Drosophila melanogaster: one gene and its partners. The protein of the gene in region 2 interacts with the protein of the main gene of each other region in a pairwise test. Each region holds a gene or a part of one and is shown on either strand. Other genes may lie near its edges.

Region 1 (7,869 bases), about 13 Mb from region 2:
TCCGGATTCGGGTACTGCACTCGGCTGCTTCTCCTGGCCACTCTTCAGATTCTCGCGCGTGTGCCGCCACTTCATGCGACGGTTCTGGAACCACACCTTGACCTAATCAGGGTATAAAAATAATAATATATTGGTTTTTATAGAGCTATGAAAGGAGTCGAATGTGCAAATGTTAAACTATGAAAATCCCATCTTTTAACTAACCTGAGCGTCGGTGAGATTCAGTCGTGCCGCCAGCTTGCGGCGATCTGGCTTGGTGATGTACTTCTGCTGCTGGAACTGAATCTCCAGGCCCTTGCGCTGCAGATTCGAGAAGACGGCGCGAGACCAGGATCGCTTGCGCTTCCCATTGCTTCCGGCTGAGGCGTTGCCCTGGCCATTGCCACCTCCATGTCCATGTGCACCGTTCTGGGATGTGGCAGCGGCGGCGGCGGCGGGCGAGGTGGGCGCTATGTCCAGGAGCTGCTGCGGCGTCTTGCCCAGAAATCGCTGCTGCTGTTGCGTCAGCTGGAGGCTCGTGAGGCTGTGGAGCGGCGCCAGTAGCGCCGAGGCTGTCGTCGAGTTGTGTGGCGGGGGCTTGTGCTGCTGATGGAGGTGTTTGGGATGGTGCTGATGATGATGATGCTGCTGGTGCTGCTGCTTCTGATGTTGATGGAAGCGGAGGAGCGCATTGGTAGCCAGCGTGGGATAAGTGGGTGCGGCTGTTCGGGAATGGAATGTTAAAGTCAATTGGGAGATTCATACTTCCTTCATTAGCAATAACTCTTAATTTGTTGCTATACTGAATCCGGTGCGTTTTTTACGCACCAATTTGGATATTTATTTTTATAGGAAAACTACCATTAGTTATGGACAACATCCTCCCTTGGTAGCACATTGCATCCGCAGGAAATAATACATTTATCGCCGGCCAAAGAAATGATACTTGTTTCGCCAAAGAAAATATGAAATTCAATTTTTTGTGTTTTCTGAGTAAATTATTTTGATCAATAAAATGCATGTTGAGAATTTTTAAATGGGCTTGTTTATAATAAAATTTTCACTTAATTGGAAATTATCATTGAAGCGTTTTGTGGCTAGGGGGGGCAAACGAAATTTGTTTACTTCTAGCGCGAATCTAAACAACAACAATTACCTCTAGAGATCCAAAATTATTTGGGGTAATCGAACACGACATGGGGCACACGAGGTTGAGGTCGAACCAGGGTGCTTTACTTCCCTTAAATGTTTTTTAAATATCCAAGAATTTATACACGCAGTAAGAAACAATTCGAATGACGTTGACTTTCCTATTGTATTTCCAATCATTATTGGCATTTACTATCCTTTATCTAACTACTGAGTTTCAATCAAGATCATTACGGCATTTATCAACTCAAAGGACTCCGCTGAAAAGTATGCTACAAAAAGTTCCTTTGAATCCTCAGTTCACGATAATGTTCACTAATGTTGATATGAAATGTAATCCTGATGTTGTTAAAAGGCCACAATTTTAATTCCTATCCTTGACTTTTTCATTGAATTTTATTTGATTTCAAACTGCAAACCATTCCTCTTTGTTTGTAGCCAACGCTAAATTATCATAGGTATTTTTTATTGCCTTTTTAACGTTGTGCTATGTGGAATTCGATTTGTTTGTGTGCTCGCGGCATGCGCCTAATTGTTTTCGAGATCGAGCGTTTTATTTACTTAAGCAACACACTACTCGATCGATTGTGTGTATTTACACTGCAGCGGAAATGCGCTTCTGCACTTGTGGATACAATTGTATCTCAATCCGTGCGCTTGTGTATCTGCATCGGGAACGCCAATGGAATCTCAGCACATCTGCAGGGGCTAATAACGCCTTAATTGGCCGTTTTGGCATTTGGCTTGTGTCAACCATCGGGGGTTTGTTATAATGAGTTTTCACCGACTTTCAACACCTTGGATGTTGGCCGGGGCATTGGGGTTCACTCACAGCGCGAGATCATTAATTGCCGACTTTCCCGTTCAGATACATTTACAAAATACCGCCAGCGGACCCGTAAATATCTTAATGAGTTGTGATAATTTTTCGGATGCCATCTTAAATCACTCAAGGGTCTGGGTTGCAGATGCATCTCCAGTAGGATGTGTTTGCGAATCGTACATTTCGCAGCCATATTTAAGTTGCATCGATTTATTAGCACGATGCATTCCACATTTACGACTTGGCGAATATTGTGGCTTATTTCGCGGTAAATTGCGAATGATCTTTTGGGGTTAAGCAGAGCACTCCCAGTGGGCCATGTGCTATGGAAATTTCGACTACCAGCTCGACAAGCGGAGTATGTGTTTATTTGATTGATTTTAATATATTATACATATGTATCTACTTCCGAACATCCGAATCTCTGACTTTTACCAGCTAACTATGCACTAAGATATATTATCTGCATTATGTACTTTCAAAATATTTAAGTGAAATCAAAAGTATAGCTAATATTTCAATTGTATATTTCGTGAAATATCTTTAGCTACTTGGGATTGTCGTCAATTTTCACTCAATTCATTATAGTTAATCCTATAGTTGTGGTATCTACATACATATATCAGTCCCGTTAATTTGAGTTGAGTGCGTGGTAATTATTATTGCTACAACCCTCCCCTGCTGTTGGGAACTTGAGAAAGAGTCTTCAAAGTTCCAAAAGAAATCGTCTGAGGGCCATCATTAATCAGGGATCTTCGAACGCTTTGAAAGTGCATCTATCAGTTGGATTAACATATAAATTGCTAATTAATTAGACCCACGGCGCCGGATTATTGTTCAGACAGAATTTCCATATCAGACAATGGTCTGTAGCATCCAATCGATCGATGGATGGATCGATTGATCGGCAGCCAGAAGAGCAACAACAACAGATCAACAAACTACTCATCGCCAGGCGGGACAGGCAAACAGCAACAAATAGTCGACGGAGGAGCCGCAGAGATCTCGCTGGTCCATGATTTTATGATGTGCGATGCGATGCAATCAATCCATCACGGAATAATTCCGCAGGGGCCGGCAGGTTGGACACGGCGGGCAGCCACAGGGTAGCCTCCTCCTGAAAAGGCCACCACAGTGGGTGGTTGTGTAAATACTTGGCCTTTTGGCTCGGCCCCCAAAGAACAGCGCATAGTTTCACCCGTGCCCGTGCCCGTACCCATACCCGGTACAGTCATCCATCGGTCAGCAGTTCCCTGTCGTTGGCCTAAACGGCAGCCGAGCCTCATTGGAGTCGGTTGAGCCGCAGTAGTTGGAACCGTGGCGCCCAATCTATCAGAGATCCGCGTCTCTAGCCGGGCCAAAGATGCCTCCACCTGTCGAACTCCTCGGCCGGCGGAACAATTCATTAGAGAGCGGGCAATTAGATGGATAGCTATCTGTATCTGCCCATGAATGACGGGCCAATTGCCCAAGCAAATAAACAAACTGTTCGCCACAAACGTTTTCCACGATCCGTGTGAGCTTGAAGTTTATTTTTAAAGACTGACTCGTAATTTGTTCATAAATTGTTCTTAATTTTCCACTTTGGTCTTTGGCATCTCATCTATTTGCGGTGCCCAAAGGATTGATGAAGCCTTTCAGGTGCTGTCTGTTCTTCGTTTTTTTTTTACCGATCTTTTGTTGATTGAGCTATGTCGAATTTATTCGCCTTACTAATTGCTCCTCCCATTTTTGGCTGAGCAAATGTGTTTGAAAACCACTTAGCACTGATGATAATTTTCATTAATGTTCCATCATTGTGTGAAGTGTAATTTATTTAAGTTTGGCGCTAATTTTGCTACATAATTTAATCGTGTGCTGGAATTTGGCGGAATTTAAAGGGCTATTAGTATCGAATTTACGTTGGATGAATCAACCAAAGTCTTTTTTGAATATGTTTTAGTCGGCTGTTAAAAAATTGTATTTTGCTACTTGTAACTAGGTCTAAACTATAGTAAGCTTTAAGTTAAGCTCGCTAATACCATTTACACATCATTTTAGTATAGCTCCACATATTTGCGGGTCTCTTATTTTGAAATAAATTAATATCTCAGACATTTCCTAATCAATTTATCCATTGAGGAATCCCAAACCAAATATGTATCTCATTTATCCGCAAAAGATCTTTAAGATCGTTTAAGGCCCTCGCATTGTTAGCACCCACTTGATAAGAATTGTGTACAATATTGAATGGGAAAAGGCTGTGCTGACGATATGTATAAAACTCAAGCAGCTTGTTAAACAATGAACAATTTCTATTCGAAAAGCGAAACATTTACCGATTATGTTGCTCTCACTATTTCCATTTCCATTTCCATTTTCACATAAACAAGATCAAAGTGCGCTGGCAGCCTGCAGGCTTTATAAGAAGTCTTCGTCCCCAGATATACAAAAACAGCAGGAAGTACGGCAAATACCCAAAACAATCCGGACTATTTTGTTGTCGATTTCAAAAATCGAATTGTTTTCGTCAAGAGCCAAAGGCGCGGAACATTTGGCCGCAGGAATATTGCACAATATGGCTGCAGATCAACTAATAATTCAAATAAAAACGTGAAATTTATTGGGGCTGCGCCTTAGGTTCTCACTCTTTGTGTTTCCAGGAATGTTCATTTCCCATTTGGCTAAATTCCATTTCACGATTTTCTCTGCAAATCTCAACATGGCTAATAATTATAGTCCATAATTGAAAAACAGAGCGAAATAGCTAAGGAATTTTGATGGGCAAATGGCGAAGCCACCTCATCAACTCGTTTGATCGTTCCCTGAGATCCTGCATATTTCCATGGAAAGAATGCAGAATGATTGACAAATCGCAATATCTGATTAGCTTTGATCAGTTTTATTGGCGCTGCAAGTGCACACAACATACGGGGAGATTGAAATAGTGCAGATGATAGATCGTATCTACAAGATAGAGTCATGGGTATAAAATATTATTTTGATAAGTGGTACGTTGTTGGAACTAGAAGAGGTTCACTGCGAACGAATGATGTTTCAATAGCTTTCTGTATGGAGCTGATTCCTTTTAAGTTTAAAAGTATCTTAAAAATACACTTAGGTACCTATAATCCATGTAATACGGATCAGTACCAATATAGTTCATATTAATTTAAGGCATCCCTTACAGAGATTAAATGTTTTCCTTCTATCAACTCGGTTTGCTCATGATGTTCCAAATGCCGTGCACTTAATGGTAATTTTGAATGATTTACTTTCAAATGGACATTTTTTTTGTAAAACCTGCTCGGATTCAAAGGATGTTCCCTTTTGAGTATAGTGCATCCTTACCGTGTTCTGCTGCCCGAATTGGCGTCGGTCTGAGCACTGATTTGTAATCCATATAGGGGCCAGGGAACAGCTTATCCAGACCCACGAAGGGGTACGTGTGCGATGAAGTGGGTGTGAAAGTGGGCGGAAGCGTGGCATGTCCAAACCTACGGGATTCGGCATTCGCCTGGCTGAAGCAGTGGGGGAAGGAGCAGCAGGCTAGAATGCTGCCATCGCAGCATGACTTGGTCGAGGGCGAGGAGGAGCTCTGCCGGTGGGATTCCTCGGGTTCCGAGCCCAACAGACGATCCACACTGAAGCTCAGCTTGACTTTGGTGGTGCTCGTGGCGCTGGTTGGCGACGTACTGACTATGGTAGTCGAGGCACAGGATTCTTTGGTGGGCAGCTCATGATCGACATTCACTGGATCGGGACACTTTGCCAGCGTTGGATTCACTTCACACTCGCCGTACATGTGAGTGCTGAGGTTCTCGGGCATACTCTGTTCCATGCTGGCGGCACTCTCGTGTAGTAACATTGTCCGGATATGTGTTGTATATGGTTTCTATCTACGAATCTCGACACAGGACACTCAAAACTGATTTCACACGTTCACAATCGATAGGGACTATCTATCATGTCCAAAACACCGTCGCTGTGCACCAATAAAACGATCGCGAATTTTGGCTTAGGTCTCGTGCACCTCCGATTAAACCGCCTTGCAAGACATCCCACTCAGAACTGATCGGAACCGGCCAGGGAGCACGCTCAACCAGCCATCGATTGCCGATCGGCCAGCCAACGCGGAACAGTCTGTTGGCGGTGGGGTTAATCTCGCTGAGATTGTGTATTCCTGGTGCTGACAGTGGGGCAAGGAGTGCGAGATGATCAGGATATAATGCTAACAATAAATAATGGCTATATGTTCGATATACAGGATATACAAACCAGGATATTTTTTTATCCAACGTGTATATTGTTTATAAAGTAATACTCAAGAAGAGTAATACTATCAAGAAAGATTAGATTTTTGGGCTTCGGTTGGTGGTAACATTGGTTTCTATTCCGCTGAAGATCTATATACCTCTAGAAAGTGCCCTAAAATTATGTTAATCCACTTACCATAGACCTGATCCCACTGTAGCCACACACAGATGGGATACCTTGCCATGCCGATCGCTTGTTTACACACAAGCATGCCGCTGTGTCATTAGCTCAGTCGGAGATCGTTTCCTCGAGCGCAGCCGAGATTTGTTTACCGATTTCTCCATATGTTCCCGTACTCCCACACACAGACACACACACCCCATCCGAATTCCGGTTTCCCTGCGCAGAGGCCATGTCGAGTGGCTCGTGGTTCGTGATTTCTGGCCAATGCGATCGATCCGCAGTGGTGGGCGGAGCCACTGGTGGCGCTGATGCGGCATCTCGCTTTCGCGCCCAAGGAATGTGCCTTCCATTGGCTTGGGATTGAGCGATCTGCGCGAACTCCACCTGCTCCACGCTGTCTGGGTTCAATGAAGTGGGTAACCGGGACTGGTGGTCATAAATCAGAAACCGCATTCCACAAGCGGAAATCCGCAAAACGGAACACGAACGGATCGTCGGGGTTGGAAAACTTAAGTAGAAATGTGTAAATTGCGGAGCGAAACTGGCGTTATTAATAGGAAAATTGTCGTGACTACCTTAAGATAGCATACTTTCCGGCACAAAACTCCCATCCAAGCGGGCGGATTTGGTGCCAAAAACACCCTAGCACCACAAGCCCACAAAGTGACCCAGAAAATGTGGAATATGCAAATGCAATGGCAGCGGAAAATCCATCGCCAGTCGGTGACACTTTTATCCTCTTCAAAGTGAAGTCCGATTAATAATAAAATAATCCTTTTTACTTAAAAAAAAAGATTCAGATACATTCCAGGATATGCCGAACGTTCAAAGATACTGATTGGAAAGAGCATGGCTTAAATTCCATTAACCCATTTAAAGTGCAAATTGAGCCTTAGTGATTGTAGCCAACAACTTTTCCCGGAAAATTATAGGGCATACAACAAATGAAAGCGAAACGCAATCAAACTATGTAAACAGACACGAACGCCACTTATTCTTGAGGAATCGCTGGAAACCGCAACCAAATCGTTGCGGGGCAACTCAATTCACTTTGGCCCAGGAACAGTGCGCTGCCACCACTCGAATGGAGTCGTTCTCAGCGTCCAGGTGCTCCACCATACCGTCACCACTGCCGCACAGTGCCAGTGGCATGGACAGTCCGGATATCTGTGAGCCGCCGCAGGATGAGCAGGAGTTCTGCTTTCGCTATCCCAGCTACATGTTTCCGGACGTGGAGTACGACAAGGAGGATGTGCCGCTACCCTTCAAGGCCTCGCCGGACTCGCTCTTCAATCTCTGCGCCGCCGTCGTGGATTCCCAAGCCCGCACTGAGGTCTTCAAGTGGAGCATCAACGATGTGACCGACTGGCTGCGCAACTTTGGTTATCCCGAGTACGAGGTGGGCTAAGATTCTTACTCACTATGTTGGGTAACCTATAGCTTCGTTACAGCAAACTTTTCGGGAGAACTACATTGATGGACACAAGCTGCTGAATCTG
Region 2 (4,967 bases):
CCTGCTACTCAGGTAAAATTTATTCCACACGCCTTCAACGTCACTGGCACTTTAAAATCTTGAACTTCTACTATAATATAATGACCAGCATTTTTGGTCTTCTGCAAAGAAGTCGTTACCAAGAATCTAAAGCTTTTTGTAATTTGTTGACGTAGGTTTCCGAGATCTCGACGCTTATATGGACAGACATAGTCGGATCGAATGATCAAAAATATTTATACCTTCTAGGCTTGAAGTCACTTGCACTTTTCAACGTATAACATGCTTTCCAACGAACTAATTTATTAAATTGCAATGCCAGAAATTCAACTAAACAGCAATACGTCCGCGCGTAGAAAAGATCTTAAAGGTACTGAGTGTGAGCAACATGATTAGCTCTCGGTGCTAAATTCGCCGGAGATAACCCAGATTAGATTTCGGTTATATTTTTTGAAGATAATGGCTTTATGTTGAATACCAGTCTGGTTCAAAAAAACCTTAAATGATATGCTAAAGATAAAAAGATATAAAAGTATGTACTTACTATTTGTACTTTGTTTTATTGAATCATTTTGTCTAGACTTCAACTTAAACCTTAATAACATAAAACACCGGCATGTGCAGAATTTAAGAAGTCGCCCAAATACAATAAATAATAATAATTTTTATTAAGACACTGAGAGAAAAATTAAGTTTCGATATTAAATTAGGAACGAACGATAAAAAAAAAAAAAACTTAAAAGCAAACACATAAGTTCAAGAACGAGTAACCGAAATTATAAACTTGAGAACGAACGTTCACATATAAACAAAAGTCTCACTTCAATCCTCAAGTATCGTTAAGATATATGACTTGTAGTTAAGGCACATTGTTTATATGTTATTAGCCAGAAAATTGGGCAATACAGCTTTACATATATAATTGTACACTTTCCTCGTAGAATATAAGGGTTAAAAACTATGAAACAAGAAAGTGTTTTTGACCCTACAAATGTGTATTTATTCAATTAAATCTGGGTATCTGATAGGAATTGAGTTCTTTCTTGTTAGTTCAAATTACATTATTTTTTTTATCAATGGAACTATAGTCAATCCATAATCAAATGGAAAGTTTGTCGAACCTGTAAAATCTGGAAATTGAGATTATTCATGCAGTTTTTGGTGGCGCCTTTTATTTTTATACCCTTGCAAATGGTACATTGATTTCATTCAGATTCGTATATTCAACAGTAGAGTCGATACAGTCATGTTTGTCTTCGTTCAATTTCAGTTAGTATACATATAGGTTGGACCACTATATCATATTGCTGTTATAGGGATAATCGAAAAATAATGGTAAGTATTAATATATGTATGAGATATACAACAGTTTTTGACCATATTTTAATTTGATGAAAATCAAAAGAAAATATATCATATAACTGCCGTACAGCCAAGGCAAACCAAATTTTAATTAAAGTATTTAATTATCGTTATAATTGTGTTCAATTATCCGCCGGCTAGATCGGAAACAGGAAGTTACTGTTGATGTATATTCGTTTAAGGAAATACGGTAAGAACGTTGGCAGCATGGGTTAATTTTTCAGCTTTTGCAAAAGCTCCAAAGTAAATGCAGGCTTGTGGTAACTATCATCGCATGTGAACAGCGTTGTACACACACACACTTGCACATTTACACCTGGGTATTGAAGTTATCAGCTAAAAGAGAACTGACTTCCTCCGATTGTACATATATATATATATATATATATATATGTATACAAACATATATATGTGTGTAGAGCAGATAACCACTGCATGCGGAGAAGAGCTTGGCAGGTGTTAGTGAGTTCAGGTGAAATTGATTATGCGAATGGGGGTAAAAAAAATATGGCCAAACAGTGAGGGAGCCAGTTAAAAAACGGTGGTCGATCCAGCCGGTCCGACATTTCAGTTGAGAAGCCAGAAAGAATAGAAAACCGAGAGCCATGAGAGAATACAGCCTGTGTATGATTGTGATAGCAGCTTTCATTGCCAGCCAGCTGGACAGCACCTCAGCCCTCCGTAGGTTACCACATTTTGGATGAGTTTTTTCAAATGACTTACTTCAAATTATTATTGCCATTGCAGAGTGCTATTCGTGCACATCGACGACGAATGACACTGGAAATTGTTTAACGAGTCCATCTACTCAAACTTCTATAGAGTGTGATAATGAATGCTATACTCTTATTAACGCAGGTGGGTTTGTATGACTCATGACCGACTATTTCATATTCTTAGACGGGGGTAGTGGCCCTCTTATCGATCAGTGCAACCAAAGGTGATAAGCGATTATCTCTTTTTCTTTTTGATAGCTATTGATCCTTGTTTTCTTTTCTAATTTCGTGCGGATCGAAAAAGGTTTATGATGTTGTGACTCATTTGGCAGTTACTGCACTACCTGGCTTTTTCGTGTTGTTGTCTAAGATTTAAATATTGCGTATAATTTGATTTAATAACGAAGAGAACGCTAAAGTGGAGTCACTCGACCATCAGATACCTCTTTATTCAGCTTGTGGGAGTTTAAGGTACACATTTAAACATTCTGTTGAAGTATCAGTAGAATCTGGCACGCTTTGTGGGCTTTAGAGTGGGCGTGAAAATGATCTGAATGAAATTAGCACAGCTTAGGCGCCACTAGAATCTGCAGGCTCTCAACTTATAAGGAATATATAAGTTATATTAGAAATCATTATAAGTTTATATTAGAAATCATACGAAGTTTTGCTCTGAACCATATTCCCTTGCATCTAGTTATTGATTTTCTGTATCCCAATAGGAACTCTAACTCGTGGCTGCTTGATTAATGGCACTGCGTGCACCTTACCATCCTGCTCGACCTGCAAGGAAGACAATTGCAATTTGAATTTGGTGTGCCAGCAGTGCCTCGGCGAAGCGAATTGCGCCACGACCAACGTGACGGATACGCAATACAATGCAGTGTGCCCCAATAATGGACAGGTCTGCGTGAATCAGTTGAATGACAACAAGACGGTGACCCGTCAATGTGGTGACCCCTGTGCTGCTGGAACGGAATCCACGTGCTCCTCATGCTCGGCATCCCTGTGCAATGTGGGACTATTCCCCGCCAATCGTCGCCAGTGCTATAATTGCTCAGGAGAGAACTGCAATGCGGTCTCAAATACCTTGGTCGCGGGATGTAGTCAAATCGATGCCGGGTGCTTCACCACCGGAACGTCTGCGAGCAACATGACCCGTGGTTGCACATCGGCCACCACGGAAATCAAGTGTGCGTCGGACAGCACTGATCCCAGTTGCCTCGTCTGCAACTCCGACTTTTGCAATAGTCCGACCTACGAACGAGAGGCCGGTTCCTGTATCATTTGCGAGAACTGTGCGGAGCAACAGGTTGCTACCAATGCGAAGTCCTGCGGACAGGCCAAGTACAACCAGGAAGTCGGGTGTTATACCATGACCTCAGGAACCAATGTTACCCGAGGGTGCCTAAACACCTTGGAGGCTGGCTGCTCTACAACCAATGCCTGCACTTCCTGCTCCGAAAATGGCTGCAATGTGGCTGCCGGCGAGTTCCAGTGCATTACATGCATTTCGAATGAGGTTTCCGGCTGCTGGTCGGCCAAATATCCGGACACGCTCCCTTTGATCAACTGCCCCAATGGAACGTGCTACAGCGGAGTCTGGAGTAAGTTGGTACCAAGTCTAAGCACAGCGAATCAATGCTATAGTTTTCAAAGATTTTATTTTATAATGTAAAAGGGTATTCCCAAATTGCATTATTATTATGCCAGCAAAAATCCTAACAATTGCCTTTCAACATTTTCCCCCAGATGAACTTGGAGTGCGAGGATGTTTTACCGCTGCCAGCCACCTGATGCAGTACCAGTGCAATGCCAAAGTGGAGGCCCATCAGTGCGAATTGTGTACGGAGAGCAAGTGCAACAAGGTACCCTTCAATGGAGCAGGCGCACTCAGGAATGTGGGCGTGGTCGGCCTTCTGACGGGAGTGGTGATCGCTCTACGCAGTGCCCTGTAATCCAACCACCTCCACGTAGTTGGATGATCCAATCAAATTACCGGGTGCCTGGGTCTATGAGTAATGTTAACTATTACAAAGCAACAGACAAAAAGACATAACCTAATTATAGGAGCTGAAGCATTTTAAGAACACTTCCATAATCCCAAATAAATCATTTTAATAAAACAATTACTCTTTCACAGTAGTTTAGTAATTATGTCCTTGGAAAACCCTGTTTTCATTGATGGCTAGTGGTAAAAGAGTTTTCAACCTGCTAGGCCTTATCAAATAAAGAAATAATCACAACGCCTTATCAACCGCAGTACCATTAATAATATACTTTGTACATATATGTGTGTATATTTATTGCATCAATCAAAATGAGAGTTTATATTAACAATAGTTCGAAGAAATTTGTTTGGGTGCACTAGAAGAGCCAGTTGGAAATGTCTCAGAAAGTATTTGTAGCATTCTTAGGTAACTCAAATTACATTTTCCATTACATGACGATGGTGATTTCGCCGAATTCCATAATTTTGGTTTTCAATTTGCCATTATTAAGCTGAACAGGCCTATAATATAATCATAAGTTTGCATTTTTCACTCCTAAAGAGCCAGCCGGCTAAACAGAAGATCATTAGACTTGAGTATATTATTCGCGATCCTGCATTCGTGGCCAAACCATTTTTATCTATTTCCACATAGTTGCAATCGTCTTCGAAACACCTCTCACAGAGTTCTGCATGTTTCTCGCAGTGTTCCAGTGAACTCTCGTCCATGTCGGAAATGCAGCTTCTCACCATAAAGCCATCTGGTCCTCCAGCACTGCTGTTGAAGTTGAAGTACATAGATACGCAACCGTTCAATTCGCCTAACTTTATGTGGCACATCTTTTTGCCCTTCCTAGTTCTGGTTTTCCCCTCATTGGGTGAGCAAAATTTACAACTGAGGCATCTTATAGGCGGAGAAA
Region 3 (3,885 bases), on a different chromosome or scaffold from region 2:
TTTTTTTATTTTCTGTTCTTTTTTTTTTTAGTAGATTTTTTTCTTTACACATTTTGGCCATGTTAAGCTGGGTGGCTAGCTGGCTGGCTTCTTTTCTATGGGAACTTTGCTAAAATATGCTTCACAGGGCTTGAAAGCATTTGAAGTAATGAAAAAGAAGCGAAAAAAATTGCATCCAACAAGTATAACACACACACTCTCGTTCCAGGTGATATGGATGGGGAGGTTTAACTGTACAGTGAAGCTGCGCAAAATTTAACGAAGCTTAACCTCATTCAATGTGAAAATACACTTTACTTGTACTTTGCGCTGTTATTTCAAAAGTGCGGTGACGGTGGGCGTTGCTGCTAACGCCGCTCTAAGGGGGCGTGGCTAAGGTGGGTCTATATATATACAAATATATATATATATATGTATATAGAGAAAGGTGGCGATGCGAACCTGGTGAACTTTGCAAACTTAAATGCAGAGCAGAATGATGAATGATCCAAGGATGCCAGGCTAGCAACGAAAAGAACTCGCTCTATCTCCGTTTTTCGCCGACTTTCCCTTGATTTCCCGCCAGAGGCAACTACTCGCAGAGAAAATCACAAATATAAGATTAAAATCGGAAAATAACACTACAATACTTTAAACGAACTACGAATGGCAGAAAACACAAAAATGGTAACTAAGGTATAATATATCTATGTATCACATATTAAATGTATCTTCAATTCTACAAACCTGAATATAGAAATATTATAATCTTATATCAACTATTTTGCTGAGTGCACTATAAAATCGCTGAGAATGCTATTCCCGCAAAGGTTCTTTAAAATTGAATCACTTTAGACCCAAAGTGCATTGTCAGCTTTGAGTGAGTGAAGGCGTGGCTGGTAAATTATGCAAGAGCAACGATACCAAATGTCGTCGAATGCATCCAGATGAAAATTGAAAGTGCTGCAATCCGAGATCTCAGACGCGTTTCAAATCTCCGGCGATTGCACTTGGCAAAGACCGGACCGCAAGCACATGAAGCGCACGTCACCATTTGTGCAATCAAACATCGGAATGGCCGCGACATTGACCGCAAGCTGCCACACAGTGTGAAATCCGATGCGGCTGGGAGCCAACCGGTGCACAGTGGTTACAGCTATGTTGAAAATTATCAAATATTATGCTAGCTTAAAAAGGAAGCAATATTTATGCACTCAAAACAAAACTTACTTAATTTAATAACTTCATTTTTACCATTTTTATCACATCCACAATAGATTTTCTTTTTTAATTTTTGAGCCCTATTAGACCACAGTGCATAGGTCGATGTGCATTGCGGGCTAGCAATTGCGGTATAGCTGCGTATTTTGTGATTGCGAATTGTGCGGACAGCGGATCGCCGCCTCACTTGCATCTGAAAGGAACAACCAGAAAGGGACTATCTGGAACAGTTGGTGTGTGCCGCCGAGTGAAAGTGAGTGCCTGGGCATGGGCTTCCACTTACACAATCCATGGTGGATTGGCCAATGAACTTGAAGTGCCAACGAGGATATCCAATTACAAGTAGAGCGCTCCAAGCATTTGAAGAGTGTGTGTGTGCTATAAAAACAGCATCGCGATGTCACAAATTTGCATTTCAAAGCGGAGCAACACCCACGCCAGCTGCATCCAAACACGCACTCCGTTGGCGGATTGGAACAAAGGATATAGGACACAGGAGTTCAGGATTTCAGGACACACACAACCACCCAACGTTATGGGGCGGCCAAAATCCGGCCAAGGCTTTGGGTCACCTGCCACCAGTTCATTAATGATCTATGCATTAATGTGGCTCGCTTTGGCCATGACAATGGAGGCCATAGATGCCCCACTGCCCCTATCCCTGGCGGAGTACCCGCTCGGCCTGTCGCTGGAACATGGCAGCAAACACCATTACCAGGATGCGGGTGTGGACTCGTTGCCGGGATTAACAGGATATACGCGAAATTATTATGGCCCCACTGACACTGCAGCCGGCGATGACTTGGCAACATATGGAAATTATGCTCACAAACTCCTGGCCGCCACCCATCAACAGCACCATCGCCATTCGCAATCCTCCCTTGGCACCACGGCCAATGGCTTTGTGCCCTTCTACTACAACAGCAAACTGCACTCGCCATTCACCGCGGATGAGGAGCCGCGTCGCGACCCATCCGCCAATATCGATTTTGTCATTAATACGGCAAATTATGAGCCAAATTCCGCTGGCTACGATGTGGAGCCACATCATGGGGAGCAGCACTACGAAAGCTATGCATATCGGCCGCGGGTGCAGTTTGCCACATCGCTACCCGGTCCCAGCGATTACCATTTCGAACAAATTTCCAATTACCGGGAGAATCGCCAGCGGGAGCAGGAGGTGGAGCAACATCAGCAGCAGCAGCACCAGGAGCAGGAGGATATTACTAGTATCTATGCGCGGCTCAAAGAACTCCAGACACCGGCCAATCCAGTTAAGCGTCAGCAGGAAGAGTCCCTATCGAGTCATCATCCAAACCGGGAGCAAAGCCAGCCACTGGAGCAGCGACATTATCAGCAACCTGAAAGCAGACAGCTGCAACAGCCACACTTGCAACAACATCTGCAACAAAAGCGGCCACATGCGCTGCAATATCCTCAGGATCAACGGCATCACCAGCGCCTGGGAGTTGCCCAGGACCAGCAGATGTTGTACTCTCACAAGGATAGCCAGATTGCAGATCTCCCAGCCATAACCACCAGTGTGCACCATACTCCGGAGAGCAGTAAAGCGGTAGCCGGATTGCCGTTGGCCAAGCACATCGAGATCACTAAGAGTGTGCCCATCACCCACTATCAGAAGCAGCATGTGCCCTTCAAGCAGAACGTCCAGGTGCAAGTGCCACGAACCGTGATCGCAGCCATACCCAAGCCCATGCCCATCAAAATACCAGTGGCCCAAACGGTGGCCGTGCCCCAGATGCAAGAGGTTAAGATTCCCATCGAACGGGTGAAGCCGGTGCCCGTGGAGCGGCCCATTCCCTTTGTGGTTGAGCGCAGGGTACCCTACCGAGTGGAGAAGCCGGTGGTCTCGCCAGTTTATTATCCGTATCCGGTCAAAGTGCCAGTGGTGCGCACGGTGGTGCACAAGCAGCGCCCCCACTACGTGGCACCCGGCTGGAGTGCCAACGGCAATCATCTGCTGGGATGAGTCTATCTTAAGAATAAATTCTTAAGCCAGTTTTATACCCTTGCAAAAGGGGTTTTTTGATTTGTAAAGTAAAAGTACAAACTGTAGGGTAGTCGATAAATATATTTTTGGTGGAATGTTCTTAAGTTGAATTAAATACATTTATTAATTTTTCATGTTATGCAGTTTGATTAACGGCTAGAGTATTTCAAATTCAGCTTATGCCTTAATTTCTAGTGACTGAACCCCAAAAAGTAATTGCAATTAGCAAAACAAGAAGACAAAAAAGGCCACCGACAGCAACTGCAGTGTGGCTGCAAAAGCATCCAGCATGCAACTCCTTGATCCCAAATCCAAGTTTCTAACTCCCAGTTAACAGCTACCAAACAAAACAACACATTCGGAGTCGAAGTTGAAGTTGGAGTCACAGGGCAGGTCCCAAACCGAAATGAAGAAAAGTAGCCGAGTAAAACTTTTTAATTGAGCTAAAATCCAACAAATGCGGCTAATAAATATGTATTGAAGTGCGATGGGCAGAACGAGGCTGAAGTCCGGTTGCAATGCAAAAGGGGGCTGCAGCGAAAGTGCAAGAAAATGCAGCGGCTAATTGCCAAATGTAACTCCAGTTGAAACAACTTTTAACTGAAACAGCAGAAGGAGCAACAATGACGCACAAATAAACGCGACGTTCAACTTCGCCGAGGCGTTAACGAAAC
Region 4 (3,380 bases), on a different chromosome or scaffold from region 2:
GCGTGTCTTCTTATTGCGATTGGCGCTGCCGTACAAATCGGCGCGACTGCTGCTATCGAATCCTTCGAACTCGTGCTTGTGCTCTTCCAGGAATTCGTGCATCTGGGCAATGGCGAACTCGTCCTCGGTCTTTTCGTCCACTGGGTTGGAACGATCGCCGTTCTTGCACTCCTGCTCCTTGTAATCCTCGATGAGAACCTTGTTCTTGGCATCTACCTTGGCTACCAGCTTCTTGCCATCGATTTCCATCTCGCTGAGCAGGCGAACGGCTCGCATTGCCGCAATAGGTCCGCTGAAAGAATGCCAAGGAAAGCGGTTAGGCAGAGTATTTATAGGAACAATTGGAGAGCCAAATGGGTGGACTGCCCGTTGGCTCTAAACATAAATGTATGCAAGCTCAACCCTGTGTTGTATTGCTTAAAGTTAGGTTACTTAAAAGTGCTCGAGTAGTTATTCGATCGCGCATATAGAATTTGAAGAGCTGTCGCAGTAGGGAGCATTCCTAGAAGTATTTCAATCTTTTTATAAATAAGCTAAGCTATTCTAGGAAACGCATCAAACAACGAGTGAGATGCGTTATGCTGCTGTTTATGCAATGGCTCTTCAATTACTTTTCTAGCGTTATTTAACTAACGAAACCTTCTTGTGCTGCCCTAAGCCTTCTAAAGTGATTTTGGGATGACCGATTTATGGTTGAACGTACTCAAATTCGCAGAAGCCGAATGTGGACACCCGTTTCCAATTGATTACCACGCCGCAAGCGTTCAGGATGCGTTTGAGCAGTGCCTCCGGGACGCGTTCGCTGATGTTGCCCACGAAGACGGTAATGATGGGTCCGCGGAACTGTGGTTGCGGCTCCGGCGGACGTTGGTATACTGTCGGCTGTGAACTAATGGTGGCCGAGTTACGGAAGCTCCTCGGCGGCTTGGCCATGTTCTGCATTATCTGAAAGCGGATGGAGTAGGTGGAAAAGGATTTGGCGTCAGATTCTGACAGCTTCATGGTGATTGTGACCCAGAAAAGGTGGACTTACGTGCGGCGGCGGTATGGCTGTATTCATGAAGGGCGGCATGGGCGCCCGCGGCGGGTACGACATCTTGTGCGCTGCGACTCCTTTGCGATGTCCTTTGAAAACACAACTTTAGCGAGCTTGCAAAATTAAAGCCGACAATTCACAAACACACTCACGCACGCACAGACGAGCGACACACACACACACAGGCACGCACGGATGGGCGCAAACGCCACACGGAGTGATAAATATGTGTGTGAATGTCCTGTTTCGTGCTTACGAAGCTGGACGCCCGCAAGGTTCACTGATCGAATCTCGGAAAGGTTGGCCTGTAACTTCTGGGTTCACGGCGCGTGATAAATCCACGCGTAAATTACCGAATAGAATATCTTTTTTCTGCAGCCGTTGCTCTAGAGATGGTAGCTGCTGGCAAGCTGCTATCGGCTGATGGCGTGTAAAAATCGATGGGGGTCGTACAGTTATCGATTGCCATTGCGGGGCATACAATCGATTTACAGCGGTAAGCGACTGAAGGAGTTGCCATCGATGTGCGTGCGCTCACCTCTAGTAACGTAACCGAAAAAGAACCAAATATTACTTGCAATAATACATAACAAAACAATGCGTGTGGGCCAGCTGCTCCGCTTCCGGAGCACCAGCTTGCGCAGCTCCACCGCCAGGCAGGAGTACGTGCCGCATCACAAGCCCGTCGTGGAGGACGACATCAAACGGCTGGAGGACTTTCTCCTGTCCAAACCGAATGTTTTGGTTCTCACGGGCGCTGGCATCTCGACGGAATCGGGTGAGTTTCATGATTTTCCGACTTTTCTATGTTCAGAAGCCATTAACACAAATATTTCAGATTGACTTCCAAAAGCTTGTACATTATTCATTTATTTATATAATGCTAATGCAAGTGACTTCTAGCTTATACTTGGATTCGCATTAGTATTTTATTTAAATCAACATTTCTGGCTGTCTAAAAACTTGAAATAAATTCCAGGGATTCCCGATTACCGTTCCGAAGGCGTGGGCCTCTACGCCCGCTCCAACCACAAGCCCGTCCAGCACATGGAGTTCGTCAAGTCGTCGGCGGTGCGCAAGCGGTACTGGGCCAGGAACTTTGTGGGCTGGCCCAAGTTTTCTGCCACACAGCCCAATGCCACGCATCACGCGCTGGCCAGATTCGAGCGGGAGGAGCGGGTCCAGGCGGTGGTCACCCAGAACGTGGACCGGCTGCACACGAAGGCGGGCAGCCGAAATGTTGTGGAGGTTCATGGCAGTGGCTATGTGGTCAAGTGCCTGTCATGCGAGTACCGGATCGATCGTCACGAGTTCCAGAGCATACTGGCGTCGCTAAATCCGGCCTTCAAAGATGCCCCCGACATGATCCGGCCCGATGGCGATGTAGAGATACCGCTGGAGTACATCGAGAACTTCCGGATACCCGAGTGTACGCAGTGCGGCGGCGACTTGAAGCCGGAAATTGTCTTCTTCGGAGATTCTGTGCCTCGGCCACGAGTGGATCAGATTGCCGGCATGGTGTACAATAGCGATGGCCTGCTTGTCCTCGGGTCCAGTCTCCTGGTCTTCTCCGGCTACCGCGTTGTCCTGCAGACCAAGGACCTCAAGCTACCGGTGGGCATTGTTAATATTGGCGAAACGCGCGCCGATCACCTGGCGGATATCAAGATATCCGCCAAGTGCGGCGATGTCATACCCAAACTGTTCGACTTTCGCAATTCGAAAAGCGTCAGTTAATACTCACAGTTGTTATATGTTGACCCCCACTAAATTTGTAGTTATGGAAAGCCAGGCTTTCTATTTTAGCTAAAAAATAAATGTTAATGATTACTATTTGCAAATGGAATGTAGCGTTGCAACGGAGCTCCTGATTTATGGCTGTGCCTTTGGATCATTTTCGCGCAGGCTCCTCTGGAGCGAAACACAATGACACGCTTTCCGGGAAAAGGATTCGCTCATCCCCCAAGCACATGGGTTCCGAGTCCATGTCCTCTCTGTCTCTCTCAGTGTCCTGTGCTCTGAAATTCCAGCACATCCCAACAGGAAGCGGAAGCAGGAGCGCCGGGGAGAGCTGCGCACTTCCGCTCGCTCCCGTTGAATGTTTTTGTTTTTGCTCCAGGCCGCTGCTCTCAGTGCTCCATATAAATGAACCGCAATTGAGGCATCGGCATCTCCCGCTCGCACACACAAACACACATCGCACACACACATACACGGCCAGTGACACTTTTCACACGCGGTTCATTACCCCCCCTCCTACGACAATCGTCCATTCCTGCTAGAAAAACAATGCGTAGACCTCGCACAATGGGCAAAATCGAAGGACTGCTAAGAATAATAATAA

The links.
Region 1: the proteins of CG10650 (region 2) and H2.0 interact in a two-hybrid assay, tested with the Drosophila melanogaster proteins (one large-scale study listed by BioGRID).
Region 3: the proteins of CG10650 (region 2) and CG13840 interact in a two-hybrid assay, tested with the Drosophila melanogaster proteins (one large-scale study listed by BioGRID).
Region 4: the proteins of CG10650 (region 2) and Sirt4 interact in a two-hybrid assay, tested with the Drosophila melanogaster proteins (one large-scale study listed by BioGRID).

What each region holds. Positions count from the first base shown.
Region 1 is NT_033779.5:6,013,396-6,021,264, forward strand, and holds the start of H2.0 (homeodomain protein 2.0), read right to left. Parts: upstream 6,008-7,869; 5' UTR 5,799-6,007; coding exon 5,282-5,798; intron 702-5,281; coding exon 205-701; intron 103-204; coding exon 1-102. Other genes in the region: CG13996 (uncharacterized protein), read left to right, coding at 7,455-7,769, 7,822-7,869. UniProt on the Drosophila melanogaster protein: May play a role in pattern formation during embryonic and imaginal development. Is not essential for visceral muscle morphogenesis.
Region 2 is NT_033779.5:18,992,834-18,997,800, reverse strand, and holds CG10650 (uncharacterized protein), read left to right. Parts: upstream 1-1,866; 5' UTR 1,867-1,946; coding exon 1,947-2,022; intron 2,023-2,088; coding exon 2,089-2,199; intron 2,200-2,779; coding exon 2,780-3,664; intron 3,665-3,809; coding exon 3,810-4,015; 3' UTR 4,016-4,441; downstream 4,442-4,967. Other genes in the region: CG46465 (uncharacterized protein), read right to left, coding at 4,570-4,967.
Region 3 is NT_033777.3:22,813,942-22,817,826, reverse strand, and holds CG13840 (uncharacterized protein), read left to right. Parts: upstream 1-1,648; 5' UTR 1,649-1,789; coding exon 1,790-3,190; 3' UTR 3,191-3,344; downstream 3,345-3,885.
Region 4 is NC_004354.4:5,664,122-5,667,501, reverse strand, and holds Sirt4 (sirtuin 4), read left to right. Parts: upstream 1-1,561; 5' UTR 1,562-1,633; coding exon 1,634-1,814; intron 1,815-1,874; exon of another isoform or gene 1,875-2,015; coding exon 2,016-2,773; 3' UTR 2,774-2,874; downstream 2,875-3,380. Other genes in the region: CG4119 (uncharacterized protein), read right to left, coding at 1-292, 704-945, 1,034-1,096. UniProt on the Drosophila melanogaster protein: NAD-dependent protein deacylase. Catalyzes the NAD-dependent hydrolysis of acyl groups from lysine residues.